Linked DNA regions of Xenopus tropicalis. The protein of the gene in region 2 purifies or fractionates together with the protein of the main gene of each other region. This does not show direct contact. Links are inferred from orthologs where the notes say so. Each region holds a gene or a part of one and is shown on either strand. Other genes may lie near its edges.

Region 1 (4,070 bases), on a different chromosome or scaffold from region 2:
ATGAATTGTGTAGATATACAGGTATCTTCATAGACTGCATTAGGCTGCTGGTACAGTTTCAAGTCATTCACATTGACAGCAATGCTTTTCAGGAAAGTGTCACAGACTGTCAGCATGGAGTAAATGCCTGTGGAATTGCTAACTGTGGTGTCAGCACACTACAAAGTGTTGATTTGTAAAACTCTGTCAATGGATTATATATGAGAGTGCAAGCAATAGAGTAGCTCACAATTATAGGAATTAAAACAGATTAAAATAGATGTGTTTTTTTCTATATATGCTATTCCTCCAGTTTGTGACTCCATTAAAGGCAAAATAAATAGAAGGCAAGAAGTGAAATGTAATAAAAAAAAATGTATACCTTTGCACAAACAAATTTTCTTTGTGTGAATTTAATATAGCTTTTATGAACTCAAAAACTGCTCAGTGACCACTTCCACCAGTGAAGAAAGACTGCAAATATTGTCATTTGTAGTAGAGTCCTGCAGCAAGTCAGTATTAATGGTTATCCACAAAAAAAAGCAGTATTCTGCAGGTTGGATTTTCAGACACAGGGACAGGTTACTATTCTAGATTGCGTATCTTATATTATCTTTTATCTATTATGTTTTACTCTAAACATGTTTTACCCCTTCCCATTCTGATGATGTTGCTTCTGGTTTGCAGCAACAGCACTTTGGATTGGGTTGTGGATAAGGCAGTTGCAGGTCGGATTGAATGGCAGGTCCAAGAAGGTTAAAATGTGGGTTTGGGTTGCAGGTCCAGGTCTCAAAACTTGGTTCTGTGCAGGACTCTAGTTTGCACCAGTGCGCAATGTATACAATAAGACTCCTTACTGAAAAAGTTATTTTTGCTCCAAAAGATTACACCACCTTTAGGCATGCCTTTAAAGTGTGCTATGCACAATTAAGGTTTGCAATGCGATAACGGTCTAATGAAGACTATTACATTGTGAAACGTGAGTTTTTATTTTTATTTGTTCCTCAAACACTGCTAAGAAACAAAACATATTTACTTGAATCAAGTCTCTTTACTTCATTGAAACTAATATCAGTCTGATACTATGCTCCTCCCTGCTCAATAAAGGCCTTGCATTGTGTGCAGATTTGCTTCAGTGCATATTGAAATTAGATTTACATGTTAAGTAGAATGGTCAAAGTGCAAAATGAACTTGAATGACATCCACTGTGTGACTGGGGCTGTTTCCTGCTTGATTTACCAGAAAACTAAAAGCAGCAGAAAGTGGATGCTACAAGCAGCAAGTCTGACATCACTTTGAAGGATCTCCTGAAACATAGTTTTTAACTGTGCACCATCATGAATTGTTCACAGGTAGTTTGCTGTCAAAGGTACAATGGTTTGAACTTCTAATAGAATGAAGTGAAAAATATTTTTATTGTCACACAGACCTTGTTTACTTTGTATATACAATAATAAATAACTTTAGCTAGGAATATTTTCTTTTTCAAGAGAGAAGCCAATCAAATATTGCAACATTAATTTTGTTCTCCAAGAGTTATCCACCGTCTACTTCTCTTCAAAATCTAAAGGACATATACTGTGCAACTGGAATTAGACTCGCCAGAGATCATTCTTGACAAGGCATTCTGGATATTTAGAAAAGTTACAAATTAAAAACACGTCATCAAAACATATTTTTGGTGGTTCTCATCCCTCTTAGTTTTACAAATTAACAGATCTGAAATTTGTAGGTTAATAGTTGCTATTAAGGTGGCTATACACGTAGCAATAACGATCTTACGTGCAGGAAAGATCGTTCCCACCCTCCACTGATGTTCAGTGCTGAATTGTCAGATATGGAGGTAGAAACAATAGAAATTCTACCTCCTCCTGCCCTAAATGTAGATTTTGCTTGGGCACCTTCAGTGGCATGATAAATATACCCCTTGGTGTACTCCAGTCTTTAGAGGTTCTCATTTTAAACATTCCCATCAGTGGCGGTGTACATATTTACCATGGTTTATCTAAGAAATACTGCTATATGTAGACTGCACCTGTACAGTTTGTATGGCTGCCATAACTTTGCAGGTAAAAATTATAATTCATAGCAATGTGTTAAGTAAGAAAGACTGAAACAGTATGGGTAAGGCCATTCTTAAAGAAAATATCATCCATATATTTTTTAAAAAGTGTTCTTGCACAATGACAGAAAATGCAATTGCAGGCAAATTTCCAACATATATCAAGTTTTTTTTTTATGTAATTACAATTGAAAGCAGTATTTCTTTAATCCTCTTTTGTTCTCTGATTATACATTTATAACTCTGTAGCCGTCATTTCTTCTCCAGGGGGTATATTTATCATGCTGTGTAAAAAGTGGAGTAAAGGATTACCAGTGATGTTGCCCAGGGCAACCAATCAGCAATTAGATTTCAACTATTATAAAACCAAAGCATCTGACTGGCTGCTATGAGCAACATCACTGGTAATGGTTTACTCCACTTTTTACACAGCATGATAAATATACCCCTAGGTCTATTATAATCAGCTCACTTTTGCTACTCAGTGAGAATTGTTAATAAATGGACAAGAAAAAGTTGTTTAGAATGACATTTTCATACATTATGCACAAAACAATGTTTGGTTGGAGGACCCAGTGAATGTGGGGCGCCCAGCCTACACTTTATCCTATTGCTAACCCATGTGCACCAAGTAACCCCAACAATCGCTTATTTCACGATAGCAGCATTGCCAACAATATAGAGAACAAGCACACGCCACTACATTACCAGCTCCGGATAACTTCGCATGTCATTCGGGATTTAGGTATAGAAACACGCAGTGGATGAGCTTCACGTCATCAGCCGAGCGACACATAAAATTTCCAGATCAACCAATCAAGATGCAGCGCTTTAGAGGCTGCCCCGTAGCTGCCTGCATCACCATGGAAACGAACCGGCGTCCAAGGTATGGGATAGGGTTCAGGAAGTTCGTGGGTGCTTGTAAGAGCAGTTGGCAATGACTGTGACAAAAAGTACAATTTACAACCATCAAAACAAAGACTGCAAAAAATATTAAAACAAATACACGTTAGTGGCTTTGGCGCATTTTTATGACGTCAGAAAAAGCGCGATTTGTTCGAAAGAACAAGGTGGGAGATGGAATGTTTATGTTTCTGATGACGGCTGGTAAGGCAGACAGAGGAAGAAGCGGTGGTAATATGTTTTGCGTTCCCAAAGATGTCAACAAACCCCGTGATAATGATATTGGATATGTCAAAAACCTTAATTCCTCTTAACTAGGAATAGTAACTTGAGAGAACCTGTTCAGTCTAACTTAAGCCTGATTTAATCTCTCTAGCATGGCTGCCTGTTAAGCAAAGGATAGCTTACAAAATCCTTCTGCTAACATTCAAAGCCCTTCACTCCTCTGCTCCTCACTACATTTCTTCACTGGTCTCCCTGCATATTCCTGGTCATCTCCTCCGCTCCTCTCAGAGCCTCTGTCTTTTTACACCATCCACACCCACTGCGCTCTCTCGTCTTAAACCTTTCTATCTCGCTGCTCCTTACCTCTGGAACTCTATCCCTGAATCCCTCCATAGGAAACACTCACTCTCTTTAAGATAAAACTATCTTCTGGAGCACTAAAACATGATTTTGCCTAGTTCTGCGCTTAAGGGCAAATGCCCATACCTGGTGCACTCTTACCTTCCAATTTGTGCCTGTATGTTACCCAACCACTTAGATTGTAAGCTCTACGGGGCAGGGACCTCCTTCCTACTGTGTCTATTGTATTTATTTTAACACTTGTCCTCCCTGTGTGTAATTTTGTATATTATAAGATTATACAGCGCTACATATCATTGTAGAGCTTTATAAAAAAAGTTATACATACATACCTTGAAGTAAGGTGTCAAAATGCCAGTGGGTAGGATGGTGCAGGATTAACAAATTAGTCTTGGGCTCTTTTGTTTGTTTCCTTCCGGGGCACATTGGGCTTGGAGTTTGTATGTTCTCTCCTTGCTTACATGGGTTTCTTCCCACATTCCAAACACCTTCAGACAGGGTAACTGGGTCCTGGCAACATTGCTGGTGCGTTTGTAAATG
Region 2 (4,109 bases):
ATTGTAATCTCTAGCACCATCATATTTTAAACATGGTCAACATTCATTATAGCATGTCACTAAGCACTGTCATGTTAAAACTGTTTAAAGCACATGAAAACCCTATTCCACTGGGCCGTAAAAAATGTTAGGCACCCTCCATTGAATGAATTGAGGTTGTGGAATGCCCTTCCTATTGATCTGGTAATGGCAGATTCTGTTAATTCCTTTAAGAGGGGCCTGGATAAGTTCTTGAACAAGCAGAATATCCAAGGCTATTGTGATACTAATATCTACAGTCAGTATTACGGTAGTGGTTGTATATATCATCCTGATGACGATCCTGTGGTGATCGAAACGCGTAGATGGTATGCTGAAATAAATCACTGACCTGATATATATGTGAGTGTATAGATTGGTAAGTATAGGTTGTGTGTGCTGGGTTTACTTGGAAGGGTTGAACTTGATGGACTCTGGTCTTTTTTCAACACTATGTAACTGCTAGGCCAGTGCCCTTAAAAAAAAAAAAAAAAAAAAAACTCCACTGGCCCAGGGAAAGTGTTGCACTGGTGCTTTGTATACCTTTTCTCAGCATCCCTAATGCCAAACACTGCAGCAGAGAATTTTTTTGAAAATTAAATTATATTCACTTGAGGATGCCTAAAATTATGTTAATATTTGTCTGATGCTCCAAGAATTTCCATGTGACCCATTGCTTGCTGACTACATAGCACGTACAGCCTAGCAAGCAAAGCAACAGCCTACCAATGACATAGCACCTTTTCATTCAAGCCTATAACCTAAATCCTCAGAAATGCAATTACCCACTGAGCACCCCTAATCTTCCGTCATACACTCACTAACCACTGGTTTTCACTCTGCACTTACTGTCACTTTACACACCAACACGAACTCTAACGCCATGCTAGTTACCTTGACTTTATGTCTCAGCCACACTCCCTTTTAGAATGTAAGCTCTTGTGAGCAGGGCCCTCTCCCCAGTGTTTCCAATCCTTATCCAACTGTAACTGTAAGCTATTTTTTGTGAATTGTCTATATGTACATGTTAACCGTTTTGTCTTTTGTACCCCTTTATTCTGCAAAGCGCTGCGTGAATTGATGGCGCTATATAAATAATAATAGCACATACATACAGTTCCAGGTTTAAAACGTTTTACTACAAGAAAAAGTTTTGCCCAGTAACACTTCACTAAGCACCATTAATCTGGTGAAACAGCAGGCAGATAAATGGTTAATGGCATAGAATTTGTCCCTAAAATCCAGAGTATTTTCTTAACTCACCCCACACTCATAACATCTGGATTTATCAGTGTAATTTCGCCTCCGGATGAATTCTGTTGCTCTGCCATTGTCTATAGCAATGCTTGCTTTAATTGCTCTACCAAACAACTAAATGAAAAAGGTACAAGTTACACATTTTAATTGTAGCCAATTAGTAAAATAGATAAAACAAATTCAGAGTTTGTGTAACGTACTTGTTTATTGTTTAAGCCTCTAACACAGTTCTGTGAAGATTCCTTATCTAGAAATAAAACAAATGCTACCCCTTTGCTCCTCCGAGAATCTTTGTCCTTCAGTATTGTGACCCTTATTATAAAAACAAGGATAGAAATTTACAGAGTGAGAGGTACACAAGTTATGTTCATTTTATCCACATTATAAAATAAATCATTCCTCAGTATTCCTCTAGTAGTGTATTTTGAGGAGGAATAAGTTCGCAAAGAGGCCTGGTTCTGTCACACTATTACTGGGCACTGCAAAGCATTATCTTGCACTACTGAACTCTAACGCAAGGTTCAACGGTAGTGCCAGTCTCAAACTACACCAAACAATCAACATACTGAAATGAATCTTAACCCTAATTTCCAAATTAAAATTTTAAAAGAATCAATCTGCTTTTAACTAGAATTATATTTTTCTCATTTCTTTAAAAACTAATTTACCAACTACAGCATCAGTAGTAGACATAGAGTGCAAAGTATGTGGTAATAATAGTAAAAAGGGTCAAACTTCACTTACTTGACTACTTTTCCATACTTTGAAAAAATCTAGAAACGCATAAAACCCACAATTAGACCAGCATGGTAAACAATGCTTATTGTACAATACACTTAAAAATCAAAACAGTAAGATCACTAATGTGGAATATTACTCATTAACTAGTTTGCTGAAAATGGTTTCAGACTGGCATCCCTGGGCTACATTTAAAGGAACAGTAACACCAAAAAATTAAAGAGTTTTAAAGTAAATGAAATATAATGTACTGTTGCCCTGCACTGGTTAAAGTTGTGTGTTTGCTACAGTAACTCTACTATAGTTTATATATAATAAGCTGCTATGTAGCCATGGGGGCAGCCATTCAAGCTGGAAAAAAGGAGAAAAGGCACAGGTTACATAGCAGATAATGGATAAGCTCTGTAGAATACAATAGTGTTTTATCTGTTATCTACTAAGTGCCTGTGCCTTTTCTCCTTTGAATGGCTGCCCCCATGGCTACACAGCTGCATTCATTATATAAACCATAGTAGTGTTTCTGAGGCAAACACCCCAGTTGTACCAGTGCAGGGCAGCAGTACATTATATTGGAATTTCTTTTATACACTTGAATTTTTTGGTGTTACTGTTCCTTTAATCAGTTATGGTCATTTAACCATGAGTCAATATAAAATGAATGAAGAATTCTTCAGGAGCAGAGGAACAACAAACACTTACCCGGTGTAAGTCATTATTGGTTAGCGAAAAGGGAAGATTTGACACATACACTGTGCTTTTACTAGGCGCTAGTCCTCCACTCATGTTCTTAAATTAAAAAAAAAAAAAAAAAAGAGACAAAAGATTCAGGTCTCATGTAACATACCTCAAGAATTAACAGAAAATCTCATGATCACAAATACACATTTTTGTTATTAAACAGGTGTTAGTTTGCTGCTTCCATGTTTAAAGGAGAATTAAACCCTAAAAATGAACATGGTCAGACATGCCATATTTTTTATAACAAACTTATTAACCAGCCTAAAGGTTCAACATTTCTATAATAGTAATAATACAGTCCTTTAAAATTTCCACAGGGGGTGACCATACTGGACACGTCTGTCAGAGTGTCTGCGACACTCACATGCTCAGGGTGCTCTAAACATCTGTTGAGAAACTAAGCTTGGGTGTCATCAGAAATTATCAAGCTAAGAAAATGATGTTTGTCATATAAGCTGATCCTAATGGGCTAGTACTAATAGCACTGGCTTCAGAGCTGCCATGCAATAATCTTCTGTGGTAATTACTACTGAACGTTATAGTGTGACATTTATATTCTATATTTACAGTATATTGTGAGACAGTTGCTAAACTCAGTAACTGACAGCAGCACAGAGCATGTGCAGTGAATCGGCAAAAAAGAAGATAGGAAGCTACTGGAAGCATGTTTTGGGGCACAGATCTTCAATGCTAAATGGCTGTGGTTGGCTTGGGCTGGTACAAAACCTCAAAACATAATTTACAACATTTCTATCCTACATCTTTAGTTAAAGGAGAAGGAAAGGCTAGTAAAGAGTTAATCTCAAGCAGCAGGCATACCTTCAGTTGTCTCAATAGTGCCCTTAAGTCTCCCCATATTTCACCTGTTCAGATGATCAGAAGCCAAACAGGAAGAAAAAACGCTGAGCTGTGTAAAGAAAGTTCCCATAATGCCTCACTCCTGCACAGACATGCAGACAAAGTGAACATGCTCAGTTAGTAAGACTATGGGGCACATTTACTAATCCTCGAATCTGAATGGGAAAAAAATCGGATTGGAAACAAAAATGTTGCGACTTTTTCATTGCTGTTGCAATTGTAAATGGCGGAAAAACCAATCCGAATTTTGGTGACTAAAAAGTCGCGGAAAATATACGATAAAGTCGTAACAGCGACGAAAAAGTCGCGCAAAATACAAAAAAAACCCGCAACAGCGACGAAAAAGTTGAAAAAAAAATGATCATTACGAAAAAAACGCATTCGGACGTTCGTGGATTAGTAAATGTGCCCCTATGAGTCAGCTTCCTGCTGATTGGCTCATATCCTCATTCCTAAGGGGGGGGGGGGAGTGAGTTCTTAGCATTCTTGAGGGAGGGGGG

The links. Proteins that work in one complex are often made in the same cells at the same time.
Region 1: the proteins of zcrb1 (region 2) and larp7 purify together in Homo sapiens (affinity purification with mass spectrometry; 3 studies listed by BioGRID and IntAct, counting the BioPlex papers as one, with this or other methods). This does not show direct contact. The link is inferred for Xenopus tropicalis from reciprocal best matches to the Homo sapiens genes ZCRB1 and LARP7.

The regions. Positions count from the first base shown.
Region 1 is NC_030677.2:68,967,742-68,971,811, reverse strand, and holds the start of larp7 (la-related protein 7), read right to left. Parts: upstream 2,801-4,070; 5' UTR 2,751-2,800; intron 1-2,750. UniProt on the Homo sapiens protein: RNA-binding protein that specifically binds distinct small nuclear RNA (snRNAs) and regulates their processing and function.
Region 2 is NC_030679.2:64,850,738-64,854,846, reverse strand, and holds the start of zcrb1 (zinc finger CCHC-type and RNA-binding motif-containing protein 1), read right to left. Parts: upstream 2,801-4,109; 5' UTR 2,797-2,800; coding exon 2,713-2,796; intron 2,049-2,712; coding exon 2,020-2,048; intron 1,588-2,019; coding exon 1,476-1,587; intron 1,390-1,475; coding exon 1,282-1,389; intron 1-1,281.